Linked DNA regions of Lepisosteus oculatus. The protein of the gene in region 3 interacts with the protein of the main gene of each other region in a pairwise test. Links are inferred from orthologs where the notes say so. Each region holds a gene or a part of one and is shown on either strand. Other genes may lie near its edges. The genes, in order: tsnax, arpc5lb, growth arrest and DNA damage-inducible protein GADD45 gamma-like and lrif1.

Evidence for each region.
Region 1: the proteins of growth arrest and DNA damage-inducible protein GADD45 gamma-like (region 3) and tsnax interact in binary tests that used the Homo sapiens proteins (3 or more experiments, as listed by UniProt). The two-hybrid records come from large-scale screens. The link is inferred for Lepisosteus oculatus from reciprocal best matches to the Homo sapiens genes GADD45G and TSNAX.
Region 2: the proteins of growth arrest and DNA damage-inducible protein GADD45 gamma-like (region 3) and arpc5lb interact in binary tests that used the Homo sapiens proteins (3 or more experiments, as listed by UniProt). The link is inferred for Lepisosteus oculatus from reciprocal best matches to the Homo sapiens genes GADD45G and ARPC5L.
Region 4: the proteins of growth arrest and DNA damage-inducible protein GADD45 gamma-like (region 3) and lrif1 interact in binary tests that used the Homo sapiens proteins (3 or more experiments, as listed by UniProt). The link is inferred for Lepisosteus oculatus from reciprocal best matches to the Homo sapiens genes GADD45G and LRIF1.

Annotation. Positions count from the first base shown.
Region 1 is NC_090712.1:5,069,236-5,076,857, forward strand, and holds the start of tsnax (translin-associated protein X), read left to right. Parts: upstream 1-4,602; 5' UTR 4,603-4,795; coding exon 4,796-4,811; intron 4,812-4,946; exon of another isoform or gene 4,947-5,385; intron 5,386-5,847; coding exon 5,848-5,955; intron 5,956-6,339; coding exon 6,340-6,454; intron 6,455-7,403; coding exon 7,404-7,534; intron 7,535-7,622. Other genes in the region: egln1a (egl nine homolog 1), read right to left, coding at 2,061-2,816.
Region 2 is NC_090719.1:13,112,071-13,119,156, reverse strand, and holds the start of arpc5lb (actin related protein 2/3 complex, subunit 5-like, b), read left to right. Parts: upstream 1-4,079; 5' UTR 4,080-4,352; coding exon 4,353-4,493; intron 4,494-6,404; exon of another isoform or gene 6,405-6,423; intron 6,424-7,086. Other genes in the region: rpl35 (large ribosomal subunit protein uL29), read right to left, coding at 1-16, 1,449-1,451. UniProt on the Homo sapiens protein: May function as component of the Arp2/3 complex which is involved in regulation of actin polymerization and together with an activating nucleation-promoting factor (NPF) mediates the formation of branched actin networks.
Region 3 is NC_090698.1:49,457,622-49,464,205, forward strand, and holds growth arrest and DNA damage-inducible protein GADD45 gamma-like, read left to right. Parts: upstream 1-4,440; 5' UTR 4,441-4,510; coding exon 4,511-4,563; intron 4,564-4,821; coding exon 4,822-4,923; intron 4,924-5,034; coding exon 5,035-5,245; intron 5,246-5,361; coding exon 5,362-5,475; 3' UTR 5,476-6,064; downstream 6,065-6,584. Other genes in the region: growth arrest and DNA damage-inducible protein GADD45 gamma-like, read left to right, coding at 1-12. UniProt on the Homo sapiens protein: Involved in the regulation of growth and apoptosis. Mediates activation of stress-responsive MTK1/MEKK4 MAPKKK.
Region 4 is NC_090700.1:36,709,851-36,717,269, forward strand, and holds the start of lrif1 (ligand-dependent nuclear receptor-interacting factor 1), read left to right. Parts: upstream 1-4,416; 5' UTR 4,417-4,512; intron 4,513-4,778; 5' UTR 4,779-5,166; coding exon 5,167-5,246; intron 5,247-7,008; coding exon 7,009-7,419. Other genes in the region: 26S proteasome non-ATPase regulatory subunit 13-like, read left to right, coding at 277-343, 587-667, 1,001-1,117, 1,712-1,807. UniProt on the Homo sapiens protein: Together with SMCHD1, involved in chromosome X inactivation in females by promoting the compaction of heterochromatin.

The DNA.
Region 1 (7,622 bases), on a different chromosome or scaffold from region 3:
TAGACACTAGATGCATGCTGCAAAATGCACCACAGAGATCAATTTATATTCCATAAGCTGTACAAGAATAAGAATCTTCTACCGCTCACTGGGAATTTCAGTTCTTGCTGGAAAAACTGTAAGTACCTAAAACACCTTTTTATTTCTGAGAAATATCGCTCTTTTTCCATTTCTGCGTTTTGAATCTCTTGTGTACCGAAGGTTAGTTATGCATTTTACAAAGCCTGAATTGAATGCGTTCAAACCCATGGAAGAAGGAAAAAAAAAACTGAAAAACTTCAACGTTTTGCAACCAAAGATATGTTGCCTTTGGAAAATATAACCAAAGAATCAAATAGCATTCATATCCATCTTAAGATGCAGTCTTACTTATTACAGTTCTAACATCTGTGCTCGCATTTGTCCTTCGTTTTCTTCAACGATAACATTTTCCTCAGTTTCTTTTCCCAGCTCCTGTTACAAAGTCACTGCGGTCATTCGTCTTTACTGTCTGTCCCTATGGTAACTACGTAACACTGCTCAACTTATTTTAATGATCATTTTGCATCACCTGAGCATTTCTCAGTAACAGGTTTATTCCATGCTGAAAAGAGAAGAAAGAAAACACATGTCAAACTGACTTATACAAAACAGCACTTTTTTGCTATGCTGTTCTGTATAAATTCAATAAAGCCTTTGCTGTAAAAAAAGACACAAATATGCATTCTAACAAATGCATAAAGTTTCAGCAAATGTGGACAGGTTAAAGCTTTCTCGTCTTAATCCAAGGGGTCTGTGTTTTGAAGTGCTCGACTACTCCATTTGTACTTCATATACTATTTTAATGCACTTTTTAAAAACAAAATAGCTCGATTCTCTTAAGGGCTTTTTCCTTGTTCTCATCACAAACGTGCTCAAAAAAATAAAAAGGGATTAACATTATCACTGCAGTGAAATCAGCCTATATAGAATTCAGACGACTAATTTAGTGAGCCACGTTTTTTTTTTAATCCTAAAATGTTCTTTAACCTCTCTTTTATTTTCTCCGTTATTTGAATACAGAAATGCTCTTTTCTGGACTTCGGAACATCTGTCACTTCCAGGCTCAATCTTCTTCGGTCACATGGAATTACATCCGTCAGTCACTTTCTAAATCACGTGTGCGTAAAACTCTCCCTGATGCTTTTCATTCCCAAACACGTACAACGTGCTATAATGATTTACACCGGTATCGAACGATCGCCGAAAAATAAACGTTTGTCATCTCAATAAGAATTCTGGAAAGGATACAGCTCAGAACGGGTTCTTAATTGAGCTGGTATTGCGTATTTCATTAGACAATTAGGCACTGCGCTGATAGACTCAGCCTGGGTCCGTGTCTACAAAGTTATTAGCGGACTAAGGCCTCGCTTTCCTTCGTCAAAGTGAAGAGCATTTCGCCCAAGGATCGCTGGTCAGTAGTCCATCATGATTTCATTTTAACGCTGACACACACAATGCCTGCATCGCTGTCGAATGGAAACAGCTACATTTTTCCCCACTCCAGGAAAAAAACACAAACACAACTTTCCCTTTTAACCCCTGTAACTGTCCATCGCAGAAAACACGTCAAAAGGGGTCACGGACTATATTCCAGCTGCTTGCCACTGCGTCTGACGGAAACGAATGGTGCAGAGGTGTCGGACAAGAGCAAACACCAAGGAACTCGACTACTTACGAGCTGGAAAAGCACCCGGTATTGTTAATGGATCTTGGAATAAACTCGTCTGTTTTCCCCGTCACCTGCTGCTTCAGGTCAAAGTAAGTGTTGTCCCCCCCACCAAGACTCGGTGCTAAACGTGTCATCTCACGCATTTTACAGACACGCGTGAAACAAAACTCTCGAAAGACAACAATCATCCTGGCGCCTCGTTCCTCACACGTGGAGGTGTTTACCCGGCGGTTCCCCGACGACAGCTGGCGGGCCAGTTTTTCACCTGCTCAGGGGAGAGGAGAGGAGAGGGGAGGGGAGGGGGTGTGGAGGGTTATGTGCACCTGCGCGCCGGGGGGGTTACACCGTCCGCACCTGGGGCGCTACTTACTTTCGTCCTCCCGTTTATTTGGTAGTTTCCCAGTTTACCATTACAGTGTCTGACCAGATCGTCCATGCGGCTCATGAGAAAGGCTATCTTCTCACAGCCGGGCTCCTTCCCCTCGATCCACGCGATTTTGTCGCCCCGGATGTCCCTGGAGGAGTCGCTCCGCTGGCTGACCAGCTGGCCGTCCGTGAACTTGCCGGTCTGGTGGAGGGCTCTGACGTCCTCCAGGATGCGCAGTCCAACCTCTTCCCCGAGGAAATTGTCCACCACACAGATGCCGTGCTTGTTCATGCAGGGCACGATGTACTCCATGGCCAGCTTCTGAGGCTGGGCTTTCGTCTGACCGTTGGGCTTAATGTTATTGTGAATCCCGTCCCCGGCTTGCTTGTTGTTGGCGATGCCACCCGGCTCGTCCGCGCAGTTGATATGATCCGTCGTCCCTTCCCTCTCCGGAGGCCCCGTGTCCGCCGGGCTCTGGGAAGCCGGCGTGTCCGGCCCGGGGCGGGCCTTCTGCGGCGGCTGTGCTCCTTTCCCGTCTCGGACCGCCCGGTTCTTCTCCGGCTGCGACGGGCTCGGCGCTTTCCCCGCCTCCTTGCACACCAGCTTGTGCTTCTTCCAGTCCTGCTTCTGGTGTTCCCTGCTGCAGTAGAAGGAGGATCGGCAGCGCCCGCACTTGAGCAGGTTCTCCATCTTCCCGCAGAGCTCGCAGTACTGCCGGTCCCGCTCCAGGTCCGACAGCGTGCCCTCCTCGCTCGCCATGGCTGCGAAGTTCAGCGGCGGCTACTGGCCCTTTAAATCCAGCGCTGCCCCTCGCCCCGGCGGCGCAGTACAAGTTTGGAAGGGATCCGCCGCCGCAAACAAGCCCAAAGGAAAACCTGCTCCCTCCGCTTCGGCGCGACGCACTTTCATCACCCACGCTGCGTTACCCTCTGCGGGTTACTGGAGGGCGAACACCGGACAGTGCAGACGGCACATGGCGCACTCCCTCTGCACTCCGAAATGCCCCTGGTCTCAGAGCGCCAGTCTCCCAGAGACACATGGCGCCGCGCTCTTTCTCCGCTCCTCACGTCGTCCCTAACCAACCCCAACCCCTGACGTCAACGAGGGAAGGGCAGGGCCCGCCTAGAGCCATTCACAAGAACCCCAGCAGTGGAGTGCGGCCGGGGAGGCGTGCGTGTCTGTGTGCAGTCCGCGGCGTTGTCAAGTCGCCCAGACAAATCGGGTGCCCAGCCCGTAGGCGGTTTCGGAACCGTGACACCTGCGGCCGCTCCGACGCGCTTCGGAACGCGTTCGCCTCTGTGCCTCAGAATTCCAGACACAGCGACGTCACAATGCCGAGGGGGGGGAAACAACTAAATCTGTTCTGGGTTTCCTCAGAACTGAAGCCTTGAAATTAGGGGCTCGTCCCTGGAGCGCCACCCAGCCGCTGCTGTCAGAACTGCCGAGCGCTTATTTTAAGACGTAGTTTTTTCTGTGGAGATCTGGCATTTACGACACGCGACGCGCAGCGCGCGTTTCCCTATTCTTCGAAATACTCTGCCATTGCATGTATTCTTCGTGACCCATCAGAAATCCGGGATTTGCCGATTTTGCCATCTTCTACAGCAATTATTGATCAGGCAGTGCTTACAAAGAAGAAATAACGCATTTAAACACACACCCTGAAGGTGTTACGTTTGCGGGAAGTATCTGTGTTTTGTGTGATCTAACGGTGCCAAGAGCATCTTGGGACCCTTGAAAGATGTTTTTTCTGAGTGTCCCAGAAAAATCCCGTTGTTTTTATTAATGCAAATGATAGGCCAGCTGTTGAGCTTTTTTGTGGACTCCAGGGATACTGCTGTTCAAAGCAACGTGTTTTAAGCGCCACCCTCTCTTGGCACAATAGTTCGGAACCCTCATATCTCACTTTTGATATTATAATGCACCCCGTATTTGGACTTGGGTTTTGTTTGTGGGTTGCAAGTTTCCTCACTGCGTGTGCTTAACCCGATTAGGCAAAATCAGCCTTGTTTCCCTAAAACCAGACGAGATTTCTTTTTTTTTTCGGTCTGAATATAGTAAAGGCATTGTATGATCAAAGGTACCGCATAATCAGTTATAACAGAAGCATAATTCCCTGCATTTGTCACACCTTCATCCCATATACTTGTAGGATCCATAACAATAATCTACTTTTTTTCCTGTCATTAATTATTATGTGCTCACGTGTAAGAATTGCATTAACTTTTTGAGTGTTTTTTTAAATGAAATACCGGTCTTGTACAGTACGTATACACTGTACACACCACGTTAGAGAGCCGCTATATCTTAAAAATACATTTCCCAAAATGCAATTTTCCAGTATGACGTATTTTTAAATTGAAAAGATCGGCTCCCGGCCTGAAAAGCAAAGCTCATGCCACTATTAAAATAAGTACGTCTTAGTCACAGTTCGGTCAGAAAACAACATCGACGTTCTTTTTAATTTCTATTCGATTATTGTGAATAAAACTAAACTTCTAAATATTTTATTTACCTACATGATTTTCTTTCTTTTCTGTTTTAATTTAACAGGCAGTTGTAAGGCAGCTACAGCATATCCAGTGTTCTAGGAGCGAAACATGGTTGTTTAGGAAAGCGTGGTTTGATGTAAACACATCCTTGGGCACAGCGAATTGGCGATTGTTAATTTCTGCAATTAAAGTCAATCAGAGTTTAAATAACAAAGAACATTTTGGTAAAAACTATTTTAGTTCGCGATGAGTAGAAAAGAAGGTTAGTGTTCAGTGATTTGTTTTGTAGGTAGTAACGGAATTCACGACATATTGCTTGAAAGCCGGAGTTTTCTGTCGTAGGAAATTTTTGTTTTTTAATATTCATTAATTTATATTTGTTGTTTTTTTCAAACGAGGTGCTTGCGTGTGGACAGTTCTGACATTAATTGGATTAAAAGCAGCAGTGATGATGTCTGCTCACACGCTGTCGGTTGTAGTGTGGGCTGAACGGCTAATTGCCAAAATTGTCCTTTCGAGCTAATCCTCCTTTCAAAAATACATTGGGTGTTGTTAATTTGGTTAAGAGGGAGGGGATAAGATAATCAGCTGTGGTTGATTTAAAAAGCTCAGGAATGGCATCTGTCAGCTAATTAATCGCAGTCACAAAGAGGAAGGAAAATAGAGACTCAATTTCTGAAAGTAAAATTCATTGAAAATGCGCGTTTAACTGGGTAATCTCAGATCACACAGCTAACAACATTCAGAGCTAACCAAAGACTTGAACGGGGTTAGTCCGCTAAGGCGAGCAGGAGTACACCGCTGTTGTGAAAACACATCTGTTCGCATTGTTAACGGTATTTGTTTTACACGTGAGCCTTTTCTGATGGTATTGGGGAACAGTCCCTTTGAAATGCGGCTACATCCCCGTATTTCCTTTGAAATTCAAATGCTTTTATTGCCCCGCGAATAGGTCCTTATTTACAAGTTGTTTGACGCTTCGTTAAAGTCGTCTTCTAAATAAGTAATGATAATAGTTCGTTTGTGATCTCAGAAGCCACATTCCTTTAAATTGTATGAACATCCTTAACAGTGAAGAATAGATCTTACCCAATCATTCCTCTGTAGCTGCGCTTTGATCTTATTTTATAAACTGACAGACAGGACGTTGATATGAGTACAGAAGTTTGAAACGGAACCTTTTTACAGGGCAATAGCAGTTATTTCATTGTCTATTTGCTGTTTGAGGTTTAAGACCATATAACATACCGTTTGAGTGGTAACATGCCTGTGTGTGTTTATGGGTTTTGGTTTCAAAGGTGATGGAAGTTTTCGGAAACGGAGACAAGATTACACTCCGACCCACAAAATGGAAGATCAGGACGATGGTACTAACACAACTTCAGCTGTGATGGCAGCATTTAAATGTAAGGAAATACGTTTTTTTTCATGCTAGAGCAATAGAGAAATAGAAGCAACAAATGAGCAGACTGATTGCTGGTAAGTCTCTGCATTATACTTAAGAGCTAGTTCTTTTGTAGTACCCTGACAGAACAGTTGAAATTGGTGTCAAGGTAATAATTATAATAATAATTACTTACACTTATACGGTGCTTTTCTGGACACTCCACTCAAAGCGCTTTACAGGTAATGGGGTCTCCCCTCCACCACCACCAGTGTGCAGCCCCACCTGGATGATGCGACGGCAGCCATAGTGCGCCAGAATGCCCACCACACACCTGCTATCAGTGGGGAGGAGAGCAGAGTAATGAAGCCAATTCACAGGAAGTGCTTTCCCCCTCTTTTTATAGCATTTCAGCTGGAGCTGGACACCAAGCATGACAAATACGAAAGGCTGGTGAAACTGAGTCGCGATATTACCATCGAAAGCAAGAGGACTATTTTTCTCCTTCACAGAGTAACCAGGTAAGGTGTGACGTTTTGCTGAATGCAGGGCTTGGGCTATCAGAATCTGTTTCATCCTGGACGCTACTGGAATCTGCTGGTGGATTTAAGTGCAAGCATGACCATAAAACAGTGACAGCGGTCTTCAGTGCGTTAGCCCCAGGAATAACTTATCATGAGTGAGTGGAGGGCTTGTTTTTTCCAAGGTGGTGGTGAGGTTTGGATGTGGTGCCTTCTTGCTATGAACAGACCTGTGTGTATTGTGTATATTAACCAATAGCTGCATTGAATGGTACTCGGTGTAGTCAATGGGACTCATTGTAGATAGTAAAATGCTGATTTGGTGTTTTTAATGTAAGATTAAAGAATAATAATACCCTGGAGATACATTATAAGAAACCCCTTTTTGATGTAGTTCAAGGAGGTAGCTACTTGAGTCAGCATGTGTAGGCTGCAAAGGAACAAGTAAAGGTTTATTCCACGCTGAAAAGAGAAGAAAAGAAACAAAATGTTTCGGCTGTGGAGCCTTCTTCGGGTGTGTGATGCTTTTTGATGGTTTGCTCGCCATATATAGGTGCTCTGTGTAGGCTTTTAGTGTATTTTTTTAGGGGTTGCCACATTCCAGGACTGTAAAGTACTTTTTTAGAAAAGAGCGGATACCGTTAACAGGCCCCTTTGCTTGAAAAGAAGCAGTTAACATGTTCATGGTTCGTGCTTTCTGCAGCTTGAGGAATAAGCAGTGTTTAAACTGGGGGACCAGTTGGTTGCCTGGCGGGACAGGTTGTGCTGCCTGTTGCTCTGGGCTGAGGCCGATCGTCAATCCAGCAGGCCCGGCCAGCCGTGTAGAAAACAGGGAGCCCCAACAGCCCTGAGGGCGGAGGAGCCCACTGTCAGCCCAGGTTGTAGGTGTTCCCAGGTGCCGGCTGTGTTACGTGAACCCCTTTAATGCCTGGTCTCCCTCTGGCCGCAGCGTCCCCGGAGTGGCGGAGGTGTTGGCGGAGTCCGAGGTGAAGCTGGACGGCGTGAGACTGAAGATCAAACAGATCGCCGAGGAGCTGAGAGGGCAGGACCTGCACCAGTACCACAGGGCCTTCACTCCTGGTGAGACGTTATAGCCAACACCTCAGCGTGGCGCTGGGCGCCGCAGGCAGCAGCTGGCTTGACACCTGTTTGCGAACCTCCAACCTGT
Region 2 (7,086 bases), on a different chromosome or scaffold from region 3:
GGGCCTTGATCTTCGCCTGGGCACCGGGACAGACGGCGTTAACACACAGCCCCGCGCGTCCCCATCATCTCCTGCGCGATCAGCCTCAGAAGCTAAAACTACAAAACCTTCTAGGCCAACACCCGGGCTGCGGAACCATGACACCCTGCTCATCTCTTGTGACCCCAGCTCAGGTGTTAGAGCCATCAGGCACCGGTTAGAAAAGAACACGACCACTGTTCACAGCATTTCAATACACTAATTGATACTTTTTGCATTACAATACAAAAAGTTGGCTGGGCCACCCAGTGGTACACCGCCCAGGCTCCTTAGAAGTAAGAGTGTTTGCAGGGTTTTTCCAATAAACTGTGGGGCAACAGGTACAGGTTTATTCCACACTGAAAGGAAAAGAGACAACATTTCAGCTCCACAGCCAAAATGTTCTCTTTTCCTTTCGGCGTGGAATAAACCCGGACCTGTTCCTTTGCAGCCTGTGCAAGCCGACACAGCTGGGACTGGAACTATTTCTATGGACTGGATTGCTCTCTCCAAAAGCAGATGCCTATCCAGATGCAAGGCGTTCCTGTTGGACCCACAGAACTGACACAAGTAGACACTCCAATATTTTATTGTCCCCAGTGAAGAAATGTGGATCTGTATCTGCTTTTACGTGCATGATGACAAAAAAAAAACGTCTGTTCCACTAGCGTGAATTGAACTTTCCAAAGGTGAGCACACAAGCCTACCTACTAAAACTCCAATCAATACAACTACAAACAAGCGGCATTATCATTGTAAATACAACTAAGTGCTTTCTTGCAGCAGAACAAGTTCCCCCCATAAAAATGTATGAGAATGTTTTAGAGGGAATCTTCTTTCTTTACACTGGCCTGCCCTGCACTTTTGTTTTTTAATAGGTTTCTGAAAGCAGGTCCTCAGCTTCGATTCAGAGCCGCACAAAACGCAGCCAGTTTTATATAGGTTGGCCAACGAAGACTAAATATCAGAAAAAAAAAAACAAACGAATAAAGCCTTCCGACCAAGAATTTTAGGAACCCCCATATTCCAATACGATCATCGCAAAAAGTTATCAAACAAACCCCGCACCACATGCACAAGAGCTGTCCATACAGCGAGATCAGATGATGCTTAAAACAAAACGGTTAACAGTATATCAATGCTATTCTATAAAAGAAGCGCTGGAGGGGAAAACGCTACGATTTATTAAGCCATGCGTTATTCTAGCCACGTAAAAGAACCCGACAGCCATAACTAGTTTATAAAGTGCCCAGTGAGAATCAATCTATTAAACGTATTATATAGAGGGAAAGTCGTGTTTCAACTGGTTTAATAACCCATCTGACTTTTAACTAAGGAGTTTACACACGCTGGCATGTGTTCGTTGTACATTATAACGTTTATAAAGCGAAGGATTAAACGAGATTGGATTTGGAAGAACGGTATCTCACCATCGTCAGTGCTGGCTGTCACAGGAAAGGAAGGCCAGAGGGTCACGGCGAAGCTCTACCGGGTTACGGGCGCTACCAACGTATTTCACAAAAGGGGGGGGGGGGGGGGGAGGCTATAGGAATGTTCCATCTGTCACTCGAATTTTAAAACCTTTCCCTTATTAACCAATGTAACATAATCGTTTACTTTAGTAAAGACGCACATAATGTTGATTGTATTGTTGCAGACGCTACCGACCGCTAATCTGTATATATATAAATCACGTTGTTGTTAGATGCAAAAGCTGACGTTTAATAAGGTTAAATGTCTCCCTAATTTATAGATACTTGTAGAGGTTACCATGTAGGTTACAAAAAATAAGTTAAAAATTTGAACACATTGGAGAGAACTATAAAATGTTTTCTGATTGTAATATCCCTGATACGTAACATATTTTCCTTTTGAAATTAGGATACTGTGAACACTCTTAAAATAAAATGTAGATTAGTGGTCTTCTGTTGAGACGTTTCAGAAGAAAATACCATTCCTCTCTATAGTTATAGAGCTATAGCATATGTGTTGTCATTTATATCACATTACAAAATACATCATTCACGTCCATTTAAATCAACACAATACAATAACCATAACAAAGCACGAAAAGTAAAAGCTGACTCGTATCTTAGCTGTTAAAATGAAATGCCCTATAACCTGCGAGGTAACCTACAACCGGGCTTCATGTGGGAAAATTAATTCAGAAGGTATTAATTTATATTCCGTACGCTCGCCATTAAAAGAGGTCTCCTAAGCGAAGTCATAAATTAGGTTCTTAATTTTATTAATAGATGAGCTATCGTGAGAGGACGTGTCTTTAATAATATACCTATATTATGCTACATTTCATTCATTCACATTCCAAACACAACCACAGCCCACACATCACAATAATAAATAACACTGACAATATTATTCAATAATATTTAATCACATTTAAAACTAAACAATCACGTTTACTACTGTGAAGTGACACAAGTAATAACTTAAAAAAAAACGACACAAATTCTTAAGGAAAGCCTCCATTTTGTGGAAGGCGCACACTTTCATTATTCATTCATCTTTTACATATGCGTCAAGATCAAGGAAACGACCAAGGGATGCAACTGCGTGTTTCTTTAAAGAGTCACTGTCTGATGAGGAGTGGCAGGCGAACTGAACCTCTTATAAAAAAATAAAGCATCGGTTTCCTTTAGCCAGTGGCACTGATGTTCATTCAACATCCTTTAGGGCCACCATGTATTCTGGTTTTCACTCCAGTGACCCATAAATGGCTTAATAGGAATCAATTGTTCACTATATTGGTCAATTTTCCTCCAATTCCGGGTTGCAGGGAAGCCAAAAGCTAAACTGGCGAGCAACAGGCACAAGGCAGGATACACCCTGGACAGGATGCCAGTCCATGGCAAGACAGACACACAGACATGCACAAACTCACACCGGGGCCATTTTCCCCTGAGGCCAATAAATCGACCAGTGTCTCTTTGGACTGTGGGAGGAAACTGGAGGAAAAACCACAGGAACAGTGGGAGAACACGCAAACTCCACACAGACAGCACCCCGAAGGTCCAGGATTGAACCTAGCTGGAGGATATTCTGTTTTCAATGGAGGGGTAAATTAGGCAATTAAGCACCCAGACCCAAGATCTGGAACCCCTGCTCTAGACTGAGGTAATTCAAGATATTGGTCTCACACGCTTATTACTGCCACTCGTTATTAGAGCCGAGTCGAAAAAAGCGACCACAGCTCGGGTAATACCTAATAGAAGTTTGGGTCTTCAGAAAATCAATTATTTCGAACTGTATTTAGTTTTCCTCTTTCGTAAAACCAACATGGCACACTTACATTATTGATAAATATCGCCGGAAAACGTTCTTATACACAGCACCATTTTGTATGTTTAAAATGAGGGAACATATTTGATATTTTTCATAAACAGGAAACGAGCCTTTGAACTGGGGAAAGGGGTGTATGGAGTTTGTTTAACAGCGGAGCCATAATAACAACAACAACTTTGATTTATTTGAAAACAATATATAAAAAACAGCTCTACGCCCTCCGAACAACTCAAAATAATGTCCCCAGAGGATGGAACCGCTTCAGGAGGAAATCACTCAAAAGTTGCGTCAATTTCTCATTCCAAAAACGACTCTGTACGACTCATATGCAACTATTACTGGATTCAACTCACATCTTCCCAAATGGCAGATCGCCACCTTGGAAGAAAATCTTAAAATCCATATAGATTTTTTTTTAAATAATTCAACCCCAGAAGAATGTTCTTTTTAAAAAAAAAAAAAAAGATTCATCGATTGACATTCCCGGTCTCACAAAGTCACAACCATTCGTTGTGAAGCTGTATTTCATTGCATTACATTGCACCTCTGTGCAGCTGAAGTGAACGACTGAAGTCCCGGACTGTAGAGCGACGGGATAAAACACCTGCACACAGAAGCCCCGGCGCGACACCGACGCGCCCTGTGCGCCCGGCTCCGACCCTCAGCCGGCAAGACGGTGTGCCACCACCCACCTGAGCGGAGCAGCCGGAGGCTGGCTGCATCAGGTCTGGGTTTTGTCGCTGTGAGGTAGTTCCGTTTCCGCCAGTCTAGAGAGCTGCCATATTTTTGTCTCTCTAGAGCCCAGGGAGGGAGGGAGAGAGAGAGAAAAGGAGGGGAGGGAGTGAAAGACAGAGGTAGAGAGTGCAGAAGGCAGGCAGGCAGGCAGGACTTGGGCTACATGAGTGTCGCTGCGCTTTCGGCCCGTTGCGAAAAGTACAGTATTTGGACACCACCCCCCACCCCCCTTCCCTCTCCTCCCCGCCTGCCCCCCGGACCCGGCCAGCAGCAGGACTGGGCCAGCAGCAGCCCCGATGGCGAAAAACACCCTGTCGTCCCGGTTCCGGAAGGTGGACATCGATGAGTACGACGAGAACAAATTCGTGGACGAGCAGGAGGAGGCGGCCGAGCAGCAGGGGCCGGACACGGCCGAGGTGGACAGCCTCATCAGGCAATATCCTTTTTTTATTCCCCTCTTTTCCCTGGGACGCGAATGGAAGCGCATTGGGTTTCAAATGACGTGCAGATGGGTATGCATCATCTCCATAGACTAACACGGGTGATACTGTGCGTGTCACGGGGGTCGGGGTGGGCTGTATTGAAAGGGGGTTACCCGAAAGGTACCGGTCAAGCCTCTGAAAGTTGCCGGCATGGGCTTTTTATTGCAACTTTTCCAAAAGCAATCACGACCTCGGCAGCTGCTGCGGCCGGAATTGAATTCACGGAAAAAACGGAGCTCCACATGAGCTGCGACCAGAAAGCGTTGGGGGGGGGGAGTCTGTTTTTTTTTTTTAAAAAGAAAACGGGGGGACAGTTTATACATGCGTTAAAGGATCTGCCCTCAAAACGCATGCGACATGAATCCCCGAATGACCCCCCCCCGATGTTTTCATTGACAAGATGAGGCTGGCTGGAAACTTGGCGAGTGCGAAATCATTTCGCCCAAATGCGTCTCTGCACTTTTGACAGGCTGAAACGTTAAGGTGGCGTTAGCCCAAGAAACAGGCATGGTCTTGGAGGGGGGGACGGCCGTAGACGTCTTCAGCTGGTCAGGTTAGTTATTAATCGCCTCCCCTCCTGGTTGTGAAGCTAAGTGGGCAAAACCGGCGGAGGTTTTCGCCCCGACCAAGCTGTGCTGTTTCACTGGCCCGATGCGCCCTTGCTCGCTGCTTCTGCCCCAATTCACTTTATCGCACAGGTGCCCCGAGCAGGAGACCAGAAATATCAGCCACCACAACCCCCAGACCGGTTCGTGTAGCTAGAGAGAAGCACATAGCCTGTGTCGTGGGTCTGGGCTGCCCACTCGCTGTGTGTATTTTTAGAGGAGGGGTGAGACACTTCACCGCCGCCGTCTTTATCTTTGGGGGTTGCGCTTTAAATAACCTCCCGGGATCGTCCCCCCCGTCGGATGACCGCCCAGTAGACCACTTTCTTGCGCCTATTTCCGAGTTTAGTGGATTAATTCATCTTTCTCATCTAGAACCTCACCAGTACTTGGGGGGGGGGTGACCTCAATTTACAAGTGGGACCTTCTTGCAGTACATACCATGGTACACCCCCATGGATAACTTTTATTTTTCATGTTCACGTTTTATAGACAGGAATGTACCTCGGCGGTTTTTGGTCTTTCGCCTCCACAGTGTGACTTCAGGGTTAAGAATAACTGGATCGAGAGCACACGGGGAAGCTGGTGCAGTCTGTCGTGCGAAAAACGCCTGTACGTTGGCAGTATTTTGCATGCATATCGCCTGCAAGTACCCAGGACATAATACGTTTCTCCTGATCGACCGTTTTAAGATTTGCAAATAATTTGGATGTCTTTAGGTGCTGGTTTTTAGATTTCCAGGTCTTTAATAACTATTTGAACGGGTTCCGAGCGCCCTGTCAGCTTTGCTCTGCAGACCGAGGGCTGTTTTGGAGCAGCCTCGCGTTAGTCATGCTAATTAAAGGCGCACCGACGGCGAGTCTGATGGGCCTGTCAGCTGCACCCTGGTTAGCGAATGTACTGCGGGCGACATTCAGGGCAAAAGCATAAGTGCACTTGAAGGAAATCAGGGGGAGATTGTACTTGATCCTTACTCTGTTTGAAGCTCAGGTACGGTATTACGGCACCCCCTGAAGAATTAGGCTTGTAGCGTCTCCCCAGCAGATGCAGGATTATACTAGTTTAATAGCCCCAGACCGAAGATCTCCCCCCCCCCCTCTCAGATCCCAAATCCTTCCCTCCACTTGGCTGTGTCCAGGTGCCAGGAGCTGCAGGGGGAACAAAGCCATCTGCTCCGAATTGCGCCAGCAGTCGGCTGTTTGGATCCGTCTTTTTCGTACGGCGCAGGGGAGGTAAGTTGGCTGTGCAGGTTGGACGTGGCGCCCTTGTTCTGGGGTGGACTGCAATCACAAAGGAGTAAATAATGTTTTTCCCCCTCAAGCCTGCTTTACCAGTATTTTAAAGCGAAGGTGTTTTGTCACTAAACGGTCTGGCTTCTAAACCGCTTTGTCCAGTATGGGGTTGCGGGGGGTGGGAGCTGGAGTCTAACCCACCAAACATGACCTTCAATTCCTGGCCTTACTGGTGGTTCTTTACGGACAGGGTTAAGGAACTGAATGGGTTTGGTCCTCCCTAATTTAGACGGAAACAGTAGTGCGCTGGATTTGGCAGTTCAAATTCTAGGGGTATCACCTGTCGGGAAGTTCTTTGAGTTGACTGCTACACAAGGACTCGGATGGAAAAGAAACGTGTATCTTTAGCATTTCAAACGACCTCATTTTCTGGGAACAAAAATCAAGGGTGTCCAATCATAAGTTCCCAGCCATATCGTCAAATCCTGATCCCTTGGAGTTCTTCAGGAGATGGACAGATGAGAATGGGGGAGTAAATGTCTCGTATAAGGAGCACAGATGAACTGGGCTTAGTGGTTCCTCTGATTTCTATCTGCTCGTGTGCTCTCCTGTGCGGTGCTACGGTCGACCTGTTATGAAGAGGATGTGGCTGAGCTGTGAGACCAGAGGAGGCTTTGTAACCCATTACTGCTCCTTCTGCCTGACAAGAGC
Region 3 (6,584 bases):
TGTGAGAGCTGAAGAGATTTTACAGACCAAGAAGGAAATGCTTAATCTCAGAGGAATAATCATCCTGGAGGAATACATGTGCAATGCATGGAATTCCTGAAATCCTTGATGTTCCTGGAGAGGAATAGAGGAACCTCTGGTCAGGAGACCCAGAGACCTGAAGGAGGAGAAGACGGACAGTCCCTGTCTCTATGACCCAAGATTCACTGGCTTCATGAGGGGCGAACCAGTGCTTTTCAGTGGCGTGGAATGTTTTGAGGGACATAAGGTGCTTGATGGATTCTGAAAATATTTTGGAAAGCAATCGCTTGTGAATTTCCAAGATCTACACTTGTGATGCAAAAGCAGTACTCACAGTATCTAGACAGGAAGAAAATCAATAAGAACACGTCACATGTGTGGGAAGAAGTTCAGAGAACTGCTGAAAGGAAGAAAAAGAGAACAAAAGACTTTTAAAGCTTTTGACACGGATACCGATGTTGTAATTTTTTTTACAGTTTTTGTTTACATTGATGAACATATCGATTCTGCTTTTCTGTATTTAATTTACCAGTAATAAACAATGAGTATTTAATTAACGTATGAATTTCGTTATTGCATGGCCATTTAAAATTAAAAAGGGTATACAGACAACGATTCCTCTTGAGTAGGTATGGATACCACTTGGGAGTGTACTGCAATATGTGCACTTGAATATGTGATTTGTGTGTCCAAATCCTGTAAAAATGTTAGCAATATAACCCCAGTTTGTACGGCTTGGCACATATTTTCCTTAAAAAGATCAGCGGGAGTGTTATTTTCAGAATGACATTAGTTCTGATATATGAAAATATAACATCACTTTTTTCTGGAGAATTTATTATCAGCCACAGTGAATAGACCATTTCTTTCATTTATTATTTTTCTTTAGCCAACACAATACTGATCTTGCACTATAAATGTTTTCAAATAAAAGGAACAATAGTTCCCATTTAAAAATATTCTTTATCAGTAGCATAATTTACCTGAGAACTATTTCCTTTGAAAGCCCTTAAAATCAGGTCATTTCAAAATCACATTTAAATGCAATTTACATATTTTAAAATGGTTTCTCTTCGAAGTATACATAATTGAATTTCAGTTGGACTATTCTAATAAATCAATAATTGAAGTTTGGTCAGATCCTAATAAATGCAACATAAAGATGGAACTGTGATGAAGGTGTGTTTGACATAATTTACCTAACTGTGAGAACAACAGGCTAACTGCTGACAGAACATCCCTCACTATAGAGGGGAATGAGCTAGGGAGCTGCTCCCAAGGTAAAAACAAGGGAGGGTATGATAGAGGTATTAAGATATAGTTGTCAGTAAGTGGATGGAGTTAGGATCATTCCTTCTACTACTTTTCTGTTTAAAGCTCTATTTGCTTTTGTTGTGTAGCATGTACCGTATGACCACTTCCACCCCTGAAGTGCAGCTCCTGTTTGGGTGACCTGTAGCAGCCTATATGTGACTAAATTATTCCTTTTGTTTGTAACAGCTCTTATGTTCTGACACAGCCATTATTTCTTTAACGAAAAAGTACTCAGGACTTCATTGTAACATCTCATCCGAAGAACTCAACCTCTACATCATAGTTTCCCTGGTCATCATAGTGTGGGCTTCTGAGATCTTAAAGATCTGGCTACAATGTGGAAACGTTGATGTACAATTTTATGAATGAACCATAAAAAGGAAAGTAAACGTGTACTTATTCAGACATGTCTATTCAATTTGAGCAGTGCATTTTACTGTAATCGAGGACAAAAATAAATTCAGTAATAAAAACTCCCACTAGATGGCAGAAGCGGTCAGGGAACGCACAACTAATTCTTCCAAGAGCTCATTTTCTATCAAAATGTTCTGTTAGCGTGAGATGATTGCTTTCACGTCTCAGTTGTGAGATGTTAAATTGATCCAGGTAGATCAATTATGAAGCTAAGACTTTACGTGGGATGAAAGCCTACTTATTGCTAGTGAGGTTCTCCAAGAAGTGGAGTTATGCACCCCTGCTTTAAAGCAAAGATTATTTGGTTCTTCAACATATTATCAGTTACTGTCACACTGATTCGATCCAAAATGGACAATTTTTGCAAAGTGTAATTTCCAACACAATTCCCAATTTGCAGAAAGAGCTTTAGATAATTGCAACTGTTCATATTTTCCAAGCATCACCAACAACAAAACATCCTCTGAGTTATAACACTTTGATAACTAAATGCATATGTTAGCATTTTGGAATCAGCATGTGAAATAGACAGAAAAGGAGGTTACTCTTGGTTATTAATAATGTGGTATTGGACCATGAAAGCAAACTGTGAAATTATACAAAATTATCCATAATACAAGTTTATGTAGGAGTTGCTTCAGACAAATCATTGCTAATCTTCGTTCTTTGGTGTACAACTTTGGGACTATAGCAATAAAAGAAAAGGCTTGTTGGTGAGCTATCATCTTAAATTTGATTGATTCAAGGTTTGGTTATGAGAATATCGAAAGCAAAGTGTGGTTTAAACATTAACTGCTAAAATTTGAGATGCTGATTCTAAATGATACTTCTCAGATGGAGGCTCATTAAACTAATCAAAGGGAATGGTACATATAATTATCCCTTTTGCCTTTTTAACACTCAATATTGGTACAAAGTACATGTACAAATGTCAAGGAAAAATGCAGGTAACTAAGAATTTGGAAGTAACTTTAAAATACAATCAGACATTAAAGAACCTTTGAAACCTTATTTGTGTATAACATTTGCAAGGCTAATCTGTGATACATGAAGTATACAGGGGCTTTTGATCTCTATTCACAGAACGACTTACTTACCTACCTAAACCAGTAAGCCCCTATTCTAACACCCGACAGACCCCTGGTGTGCATGCGTCTGACGCGCTATCAAATCATTTGCAGTTTTATCACGCGGGCTGCCCACTGTGCTAAAAGAGCGTATCGACAGAGTGGAGCCTCCAAGAGTCTCAGCACAGCAATGGACACCGATAACACAGGGGCTGCCCAGCTGTTCACTCTCCCAGGAAACCTGTGACAGCAGTCAGCTAACGGGTCTCGTGGCTGCAGAGCACCCCAGCGAGCGGCCTTCTGTACACGAGCCACTCGGGGGACTCTGAAAGAGCACGCGTCTCTTGTCGTTTCCATAGCACGGGAATCTACTTAAATAAACAGCAGGTGGCGCCACGACTGCAGTTTCATACAGCTCTGAAGTTTGCAAATAGACGATAAGCTTGAAAAAAAGCATTTCATAAATTGACTAAAGAGAGGGGTTTAAATATCCAATGTTTTCATAAATTGGGAATAACAGTTTGTGCATAATACATTAACAATTCGTGCATTTCACAACATGTCATTAACGGACTACTATGCATGTATAATTAATTGAGTGCAGTTATTTTTCTTATTGAGGTGTGGATTTCAGGACTCATGAACATGGTATTGGTTGTTTTTCTTATCAATTTGTTTTAGCTACTTTTAAATATTTCACTGTTGCCTACAGAGGGAAAATACAAATTGAGCCTTTGTCTTGAAACTGCGCTCTTTCTCAAGCCAAAGTAAAAATAAAAAGAGTTGAACACGGTCAGAATAACATACCGTGGTGTGTTGAATTATTCAACTTTCGGAGCTCATCGAAATGCGCAAGTTTCAGACGCGACTGCAGACTCGTGTCTGCTGCAGAAGCTGGACGCACATCTGCTGCGGTACGTGACAGCGAGATCGGGGAGATAGCAGAAGACAGGTCAGAGATCAGCCCACCTCCCCCACCTTGTCGAAAATCCTATACAAGTGGCAGGTGGAGCCCAGCAGCAATTCTGAATGGCGTGAACTGCTGAGACCCCCAAACCGCCACACGCCGAAGTCTGGCCATTGTGTCGCCTTTACAAATGCAAAGGAGTGGCGTGTGCCGTGCTCAATCTGCCATTACCCCCCCACCCCCACAGACTCTCTCTCTCTGTTGATAGCCCAAGCAAGACAGAGACAGACGTGTGATCACAGCTACTTTAAAAATGCTGTTTCTTTTGACTGGCGGAAAAAATAAGCAAACTCCGCATGGATATCTTGTTTTACAGAAAACAAGATTATAACTGCCACCTGCAGATTACAAACTTGCTCTTCGTGATTAAAGTAATTTGTGGCAACGCACTTTCATTTGAAGTCTTTTAATCTTTTTTTTTTAATAAAAAAAAAGGCAGGCTCCAGTCTGCCCAGTAACCAAAATAACAAAAGGAGCAGACTTCGGGCATTGTAATCCCGCCCCCACGTGGGGCCCAGACACGAGCCGCAATAATTACTATAAGACATTAACATACGTTTTATCTTCTCAGCCAATCAGCGAGCACTGCAGTTGTACCGCCAGCCCACCACCGAAGAACACGGCCGGCTGCTTATAAAAGAGGAGCGCAGCTACATCTGATCACAGACTAAAGCTCTTCTTCTGTGGAGTGCTTCTACGGGTGACTAAAGTGGATAATAGGATAACTATGACTCTTGAGGAAATTCACGGACAGGAGAACACAGTTGAAGCCGGTGACAGGTAAATATAAACGAAATGAATTCATTTAATTAAGTTGATGTTTTTAGTCCCTTGTATAAAATCAGGAATTGCTACATTGCATTAGTCGGAATATTACTGACGATGCATTTTATCATCTTTGGTGTGCTTGCATGAGCAGAATGTGGCTTATTCTGTTAAACTAGAGGTCGTTTTTAAAGAGGCTTCCAGACTTGCTGCGTGCTCCCTGCGAACTTCAGTAAAAGGTTCTTACAAGTGATTATTTTTATTGATTTCCAGAATGATGTGTGCTGGCTCAGCCCTGGAAGAGCTCCTGGTTTCCGCTAAGAAACAAGAAAACCTGACAGTGGGAGTGTACGAGTCTGCAAAAGTAATGAATGTGTAAGTATTATCAATATAGTCTTAACTCCCGGTAATAGACCAGTTATTCTATTGTTATGTTCCGCTGAGTCAAACAAATCCTAAATTGCGTTATAATTTTTATGTTTGCAGTGACCCAGACAGCGTGGCTTTCTGTGTTCTGGCAACCGATGAGGAGTACGAGTGCGACATCGCTCTGCAGATCCACTTCACCTTAATCCAGGCCTTCTGCTTCGACAACGACATCAACATCGTGAGGGTGAATGACATCCAGCGACTGGCTGAGATTGTCGGGAGCGATGAGTCAGGCGAACCCCAAGATGCGCACTGCATTCTCGTCACGGTACGTACAGTCTCCTCAGTGATGTCCGTCAGTCCGTCTTTGCTTTAAAAATCTATGCAGATTTAAAAAAAAAAACTTTTTCTAATTACCATCTCTTCGTTTTGCTCCTATTACAGAACCCAAACTTGGATTCATGGAAGGACCCGGCTCTGGAGAAGCTGAGCTTGTTTTGCGAGGAGAGTCGTAACGTTTACGAGTGGGTGCCTGCAATTACGCTCCCTGAGCGATGAACTGGGACTTTTCAGAAATTGAAGATGCTTAACCTTTGGTGCATTAATAACCTGGAATACGAGGGGGACCCGACATATTCCTGAGATCTGTGGATTATCCTGTTGAGGGCTCAGATGAAAGTCGCATGGGCGGGCGTACAGAAAATGTCCTTTGAGGTGACAAGGAATCAAGTGCAACGGGATCTGCAGGAGGACGGTTCGTACCAAGGTGCCCCCAACTTCACTGGCAGTGCGGGGCCTGGTATACCACAGAGGAGAGCGGAGGAGAGCTCTTGAATTTTTGAATGGTGTGGAGGCTTGACGAAGGATGCAAAGAGGAAGTGCATTGTGCAGAGTACCGGCAATGGACTGAAAGACTCGCATGAAAGACTGAACGTTTTTAGAGAAACTGGAAGCTAGAACAAGTTTTAAAAAATGTGGAACGGACTGATTTAACCGAACAGGTATTTCAGAATCGGTATAATATAAAAAAAAAAAACTATTACGCAGATATTTTTGTACGCAGTTTCGTAATGGATCAAATTATTCAATGTATGGCTGTGAATTTTACAGGATGTTTGTGAACATCGCAATAAAACGATTAAATGTACTATTGCGTCGTGTGTTGTGAAATGATCTCTGCAGCCTTCAGAACGCATAAGGTGATTTTGAACAGCAGCAGTTTAGCAAACACATTGTAGACTCACTTTATCACGCAACAATGTGGGGCACGCAGCTGATGCTGGACGTTTGACACAAAGAAACACGCATGGAGTTTGGCTCAGGAGCGGTCTGAGCACAATAGTCAGCAGAGAAGCTAACGCTCTCTATTCAGGAAGAATTGACCTCTCACCGCCAATGCGCCAGCTGCTTACTTCAACAGCTTGCATAACTAATGAGATGCATGCAGAATGAGTTTCTCTTTTGTAGTAGGAGGCTTTTGTGCTAAGGGGAACCGTTGGGGGGGAAATTTGGCAAAAAAACATTTCCTTAAATCTTTCTTCCTCTAAGCAGGTTATAATTTACTACAATTTACTCATCACCTGCTGCTTAGAGAACACGAAAATGTGCAAGCACAAGTTTTGTATTGAGTGGCTCCCACTAATAGTGGAAAGTGGTAGTTATTCTGA
Region 4 (7,419 bases), on a different chromosome or scaffold from region 3:
ATTTAGGCTTTTTATATTTATAACCTTATTTGATAATTTCAATGATTGTTTACTTCATAGGAGCTCACTATCCTTAACTGACACAGTATGTTTAAATATTTTTTTTCTTATCTTCAACCTTAATGGCTCAATTTCATCAGGTGGAAGTAATTTAACTAAATGTTTTCCAGGTATTAACTGGAATTAATTGAAAGGTACTGTACGTCTTAAACCTGCAGAACATGCCTATCCCTGTTCTACAGAATGATTACATTTCTCTGATTTGTTTTTCTTTTGGGAGACTGATCTGGCCTTGAATGAGAGCAAACTGATGGAAAAACTACAGCTGCTGTGCCTTATGGAGGTAATAGAAGACTGTTTTTTGAAAGTTTTTGCATGGTGAAAGGATTTAAAAGAAGGTAATTAACAATATACTGTATAACTGTTTCATAATCTGTATGGTATTCCATAAATATTTTGGAGAAACGGATTAACGGCTGTCTTAAATTTCAAGGTAGACAGCACTAAGTAAGATATAGAAGTGCTGTAGTGACGTATAGGATTATAGTACGTCAATAGACAGTTAAAACACCTCTGTGCTCCCCAGATGGTATTTACCAGACCAGCTCATCACCGACAGATTACCTTCCAGGAAATTGCAAAGGAAACCAAGCTGCCCATCACTGAGGTGAGGCTGAAGAGACAGAGAGAGTCTTGAAAAAGGCCATGCTGTTATTTGCTGTTGTTGGTAACCTGTGAAAATCCAACCACAGTCTACAAAAATTATTCAGTGGTATCATGTTTCAAAGAAATATATTCTGCATCTATAAATGTATCTCCTTCCGTGCCTAACTAAAAACCCAAGGAGAGTAGACCTTGGTGTAAGACATCACAAACATAGATATTACAGACAATATAATTAAGCCTATATACATGTCTCTTCAGGATAAGTGGTTTCTTGAGTGTCACTTCCTTTTGTTGATTTGGTTATGATGTCCCCTTGAACCATATGCCTCTGCAGGTTGAGCTCCTTGTAATGAAAGCCCTGTCTAATGGTCTAGTCAAGGGGAGTATTGATGAAGTTGACAGGAAAGTGCACCTCACTTGGGTTCAGCCTAGAGTAATGGATTTAAAACAGGTAAGTTGCCTAAAGAGACCTTACAAAGAAGAAAAAATACTCAATCATTAGAAGAATCATAATTTTCTGATTCCGAAGTTTTTACATTTTCATGTTTTAATTTTTCAATTACTAAACATTGTGGATAAGAAAGAAACACCTTGTGGCACCATAAAGAAAATAAAAATCTGGCAAAAAAGTTGTTTTTTCCTGTAGTGGAAAATGTCTCTTTTTGGTTTCCTACTTTAAGTTTCTTTTGGGTAAGGGTTAGGGTCACTTGAAGCCATTTGATTTATTCATTTTGATACTAAGACAGTAGTTCCTATAGTTCCCATAGTTAGGTATATGCATTGAATCATTTACCTTGTTAAAACAGTTATGCATGGAGATATCCTGGCATGCTTTCATCAGTTTTTGTGAAGGAGTTTGTCTATTATTGCTCCCTGTTGTCTCATAAGCACATCAAAAAATTTGGAGTGCACTGGGTAATGTAGTATAAATTACACTCTCAAGAACAAGCTCATTGATGACATCACCACACGGCACTTCAGATCTGAAATTAATTTCACAAATGTGTTTTGATCAAAGAGTGTTTTAAGGTGTTTCTGTCCTTAGATTTCTGAAATGAAGGACCGTCTAGAGAATTGGTGCGGGAGCATCAGGAAGACTTCTGTGCTGGTGGAGAACCATGCTCATGAAGTCCTTGGATAAGGGGTGATTGATCACAGATGTTTATGTTAGCAGTGTTCGGTGTTACCAGGAAATAATTAAGGGCTTTTCAGACACCAGTTTATACCGCTGAAGCAGATTAATGTATGTCCTGCTTTTTATTATTAAAGAATTAGATCCAAGCTCTGTCTTTCTGATTATTTGTTTGACGGTGTGCTCATTGTTCCCAGTGCTCCTTTTAAAGGTGTTTGAATTTAGAGTATGTTAAATAAAAACGGCAAGAAAACAACTGAATCTGTTGTGTTGGTTCTTCATTTCTACAGTGAATTTTTCATGGCTTCAAAGTTTAAATACTAATTTATACATTATTTGAATCCATTCGTTGCCCTGGGTTGTGCACTACATTCACATTTCCCACTTCAGCTTGGCAAGATAATTGTCGAATCTGCAAGGTTTAACTTGAAGGTATATGTTTTCAGATGTCAGTGTAAATCCCTAGTCTGACCATAAACACTACAGATTTCAATTGCAAATATTTTTGCATAACCTTGCTACTGTAACTCAGATGAGGAGCATTATTCATAATTTATAGGGTGAATAATTTAGAAAGTTTTTTTTTTTCTATCTTATTTACTTTTACAGTTCCAAACTGTCTTGTGTGGTGTACCCGTGACTTCCACCTGGACATAATGGCCATTGACATTTTATAGGGTTTTTGCTATACAGTAGTTATCACAATTCCACTTAATCTTTAAAGCTACATTAAGCTCTGAAAGGTGGGTTGTGTTTGTATGTAATTTATTAGAGATATGATTGTCACAGTCATGCCCGCATAACATGAAAAAACAGTGAACTAATCTCTCTTTTTGTTATTGTGCCTTATCAGCAAAATTTTATTGTGACAGTGCCATGATATTGATACACTTTCACTATGACAAAAAATGATGCCAGACTGCCGCCTTCTTAGATCGCCATCTTCTGTGTCAGTGTAAAAAAAAAATGGCTTTTTGGAAAACTTATAAGTATAATTACACATCCTGACTCAGGTACCTACTCAAACTTCTAAGTATAGTTGGGATGAATGACAAGGAACAATATCAGTGTTTCACATTGTCTGCCTCGCTTAATCCTATGATTTTGTACTACATTGAAATACTTCTTTTGTTACTTTTTCATTTGGTTAGAGAAGCTAGGTGTTAGAAAAATAGAGACCCGTGGAAGGGACGTATGAATAGAATCATTCAGAAATAATAAACAAAATTCTTAAAGGCATGAGAATTTTTTTAAATTTCAGCATTTAAATATTTGTGAAACTGACTTTGGTTCTGGCAGCCTATGAAGGTTAATGGCTAAACCAGCCTGTGCTGTAGAATTACAGGCAGCATCTTTGCTTTTGTTGTTTGTTCTTATAAATAAAATAAGTATATACTGTACAATAAACTCTTAATTTCAAGGACTAATAGGGGGAAAAGGTGTCTGTTTAATCATGAATTAAGTTTTTCCGCTACACAAAACGAGACGAGAAAAATATCTACATACAGTATATGCTCTCTGGATCTTTTTACTTTTTTTAACAATTGCAATCAACACAGTCAATGAAAATTGATTCTGTGCCTTTTTTACCATAAATTAACCAGCTCTTTATTTCATGTGTTGGATATAAACTGTATAAAATTCACTAAAACATACAAAACAAAATACCCATTGTAAGCAACTGACCCACCATCAATATTTCTGAATTTTAAACTTGTGTATTATTTTATCTTGTTTTATTGTATGTGCATTTTAGTGTATTAAAAAAATGGTTTATAAAAAATGTACTACAGCATGCAAAACACAAATAACATCATGAGCAATTCACCTATCCCTATACCACCTGCTCTACCCATAGGGGGCACCATTGATATACATGCCTATTCAAAGGTGTGCTGTTCAAAAGGTGTTGTTTATTATTTTAGATATTTTTTATTTTTCTAAGGTGTATTACATAATAGTATTTTTTTCAAAATGCATAAAGCATTGTATCATGTTATGTTCAGTCTTTTATTCTGTTATTCAAACAATGTCAAACCACGATGCAATCACTGTTCAGTAAATGTACTTTTAACTGTTTCAGATTAATGTATTTTACCACTCACTTATACTTATTTTTCTTCTTTTTTGTCCCATTTATATGAATAAATCAAGATTTTTGTTCAGACTATCTACCAGTCTGATTGTACAAACACAATTTATTTTAGCATATTTTGTCCTTTAAAGCAAAGTTAATTAAACTGAGTGTTAACAGTAATGTACAGTGTCATGATATTAATATTATTCAGTTTCCAGGAAATGAATTGTAAACTATCGACTGTCGTATATAAAACAACTGTAGTAAAGTGTTTACTAGATGAGTAAATAATCACCTTCTTTGAAACGACTACTTTGTTATCGAACATATAAAATGAAAGTCGACGTTTTCTCATTTGGTTTCCTGTCCTAACTATAAATATGGAAGTTTTGCTGGTGGTCTATAGATGTCGCTGTTTCTGCCATGAAGAAATCTACTTGGGGATCTATTTTACCACAGGAAGTTAATGTTTTTGATCCCGGAAGAAATAATATAATTTCGATATAACATCCAGGTTAACCGGAAGTATAAATCAGTTGAAGAAGTCTGGTATTTTTTTAGAGACTGGTTTGTATACGGCTATCCAATTAGAGAAGAGCATATAGTATTTACAGTCTGACGAGTGTAATATTGGGAGGTAAGTTAAGCTTCAGATAAGATGAAGTACATATTGTAAAATTTTACAAACTTAATTAGATCATCTGGAACCCCAATATTCTATGTTTTAACCCAATACCTCAATTTAGCTGAAGAGATATCATTAAATATGGCGTCTCAGTGGTTATGCTGATTTACAGCACTGGGCAAATAGTCCGTTTTTAATCTGTATTATATTTGTAGATTATGTATGTATGAAGGATTTAGTTTTTATTGTAATTGGTTAAAATATGTTTTTCTTTTCAGGGATTCAATAGAAGTGGCTCGAGTGAAACGGGGCGGGCGTTGCTCTCAGGTCCGCCATTTTGCTCCGAGAAATTTCTTCCTGCGCTTCACTGGTGGAGGTTTGCGGTACTGCAGTAGGAGTGGTGAAAGGTGGTCTGTAGAGGAAAGGACATGAGGGGAAGGGTTGCTTAATAGTGAATTCAGTATGTCCCAAAAGAAAGCCATTTATTGTACCAAAAGTTAACGCAGTTAATGCTAAAGGCATCCCTGGTGTTATTTTGTGATACAATTCTAAGACGGTAAACACTGATCTTAACTACTCGGTTCACCCTTCTGGCTGTGAGAAACGGAAAACAGCGCTTCTACTGACAAAAGGTTCGCTCTCCCTTAACTTCAACGTAAATCCTACATGATCATGAATAATAACTTTGTGAGATTTTCAGTACCGCTTAAACCTAGCGATAATCTACCGGCATCTTCAAACCAAAGGTAAGACGTGTGTATTTGATTAATATTTTAAATGTATTCGAATCATAATGTTCCTTAGCATTGTATCAGATGAGCAAACGAATATTATTTAGAATATGATCCAGAATAATTGGAACTGCGGGAAATAATGTCCAGATCGTGTGTGGAAATTGAAGAATAAAAATCTATGTGATCAGTGTGTATGTGACTGTCATCGCAATTATGGTGTGAAACGTACTTCTACAAATCTCTAGAGCAACCGCAAAGGTTTTATCGGTAGAGAATTTTCATGTAATTGAAACAAAATACTAAACATAACACTTAATTTCAATCACACATTTAAGACTTACTAAATACCGTTTGTGTATTGGCAATTTATCTCCATATTTTGCTGTGTAAAATGTTTTTTAAAGTCACTACAGTAACATGTTTCTTTCGTATTCGATGTTCAAGGACCTACTATTCGCAAAATGATCGTGTTTAGCTGTACGGCCATGGACACTGATGATAAAGATGGATTGATCGCAATTTTTTTCTGCTCATTTAAATTCCGTTTTTATATGAGGCAGAAACGTGTTAGTATGACATAAATAAACGCTATGATTTATTTTAAAATGCACTTGAATAAGCCTAAGAGTTACAGTTATTTACTTTGTTTTTCTTATTTAAAGTAAAGCAGAACTTTAAGATAAAACTCGAGGGTTTAATTTATGAGTGGATTGTATATCAAGTTACATATAAAAACAGTGTAACTGAGTTTCTCCTGGCTTTATGTAGCTCTTGTATTTACATTTACTGTTGAGCCTTTTTTTTCATAGGGTTTCCTAAAACGCTTTACATACATATCCTGAAAATGAAAACTCAGAGGGCATTACCTTTTTTCAGAGCAGTGAAAAAGACTCTTGCACCATGTGTGTGAACCGCAGCAGGGATGCAGAGCTTGGGTTTTAAAACTCTGTGAATCATGCCATCTTTGACCTAAGCAGAATGTTTTTGGCCATACTTTCTGTTGACTTATTCTTTGATACTGCAGTATAGTTTTAACAGTTTTGTATATAACAAGAGCAGTGAAGACAAATCAGAACTGTTTGGCAAAAATGACTATCAGACACTATATTTTTCTAAACTATTATGTTGCCAGGTTGTGTATTTTTACACTAATTACAACTGAAATTAAAAGATTATGCAAATCTCTACACATGTAGAGGTAATTTTCTAAAAGAAATACAAAATGTCCATTTTTTCTATTTTATTTAAATTATTATAGTCGGGGTGTGCCCTACTGTCTGTACAATTGAAATCTTAAAAGTCTTTAAATTAAAATATCAGTAAGGGCAGACTAACTTAGTAGACTGATTTTTAAGCAGGCCATCATTTAAATCAAGTTTTGGCTTTTAATACGGTGTAGTTCTAAATAGTTTATTTATGAAGACTTATGCCATGTAATTTTCTACATTTTTAATTAATTGTTATTGTTTTATTTTTATTTAATTTTTTATTGTAGTTCATCATTTTGGTGGCAGTTGCATTTGATTGTGCTACATACAAAGTGTGCTCACTATAATACAATCTAATGTTTGGTTTTATGTCATTGTATTGCACAAACGACTATAATAAAATGGGGGGGGGTCATATTTCCATAATTTGTAAATAGTTCTCTATTATAAATATACATTTATTTCAATGTATTGTATGATTCTCTTTTGCAAGAGAAGTTTAGCTTCTGTACATGGACTTTCTTGTGGTTTCATCTATTGATATATTTCTCTTTTTTTTATTTCAGTGTGTCACATGGATATTATCAAGTAATGCCTACCATATGCTCCAATGGGCAAAATATTTTAAAACTGATTCCAGTTCAGAAAGTTGGTGGGCAGTTTCTTCAGATGCAAGCAAAAATTAATTTGTCAAGCACTTATAAAAACAGTGATGCTGAAGCACTTGTGACTACCAACCAACCCGCCATCCGTTTCACCCCTACTACAGTTTCCCCTGGACCAATTGCTATTTTACAACAGACTAGCCCTGGCAAATTCATTCTGAAAAGACAGTCAGATGGGAATGTTTTAGTAAATCCAATTCACGGAATGGGACAACTCCAGGAGAAAGTTACTTTTGCCACAACATGTTCTCCAGTTCATATTCAGGTTCCAGTAACACCACACAAGCCACAGCAAACCTCTGCTCCAGTGGA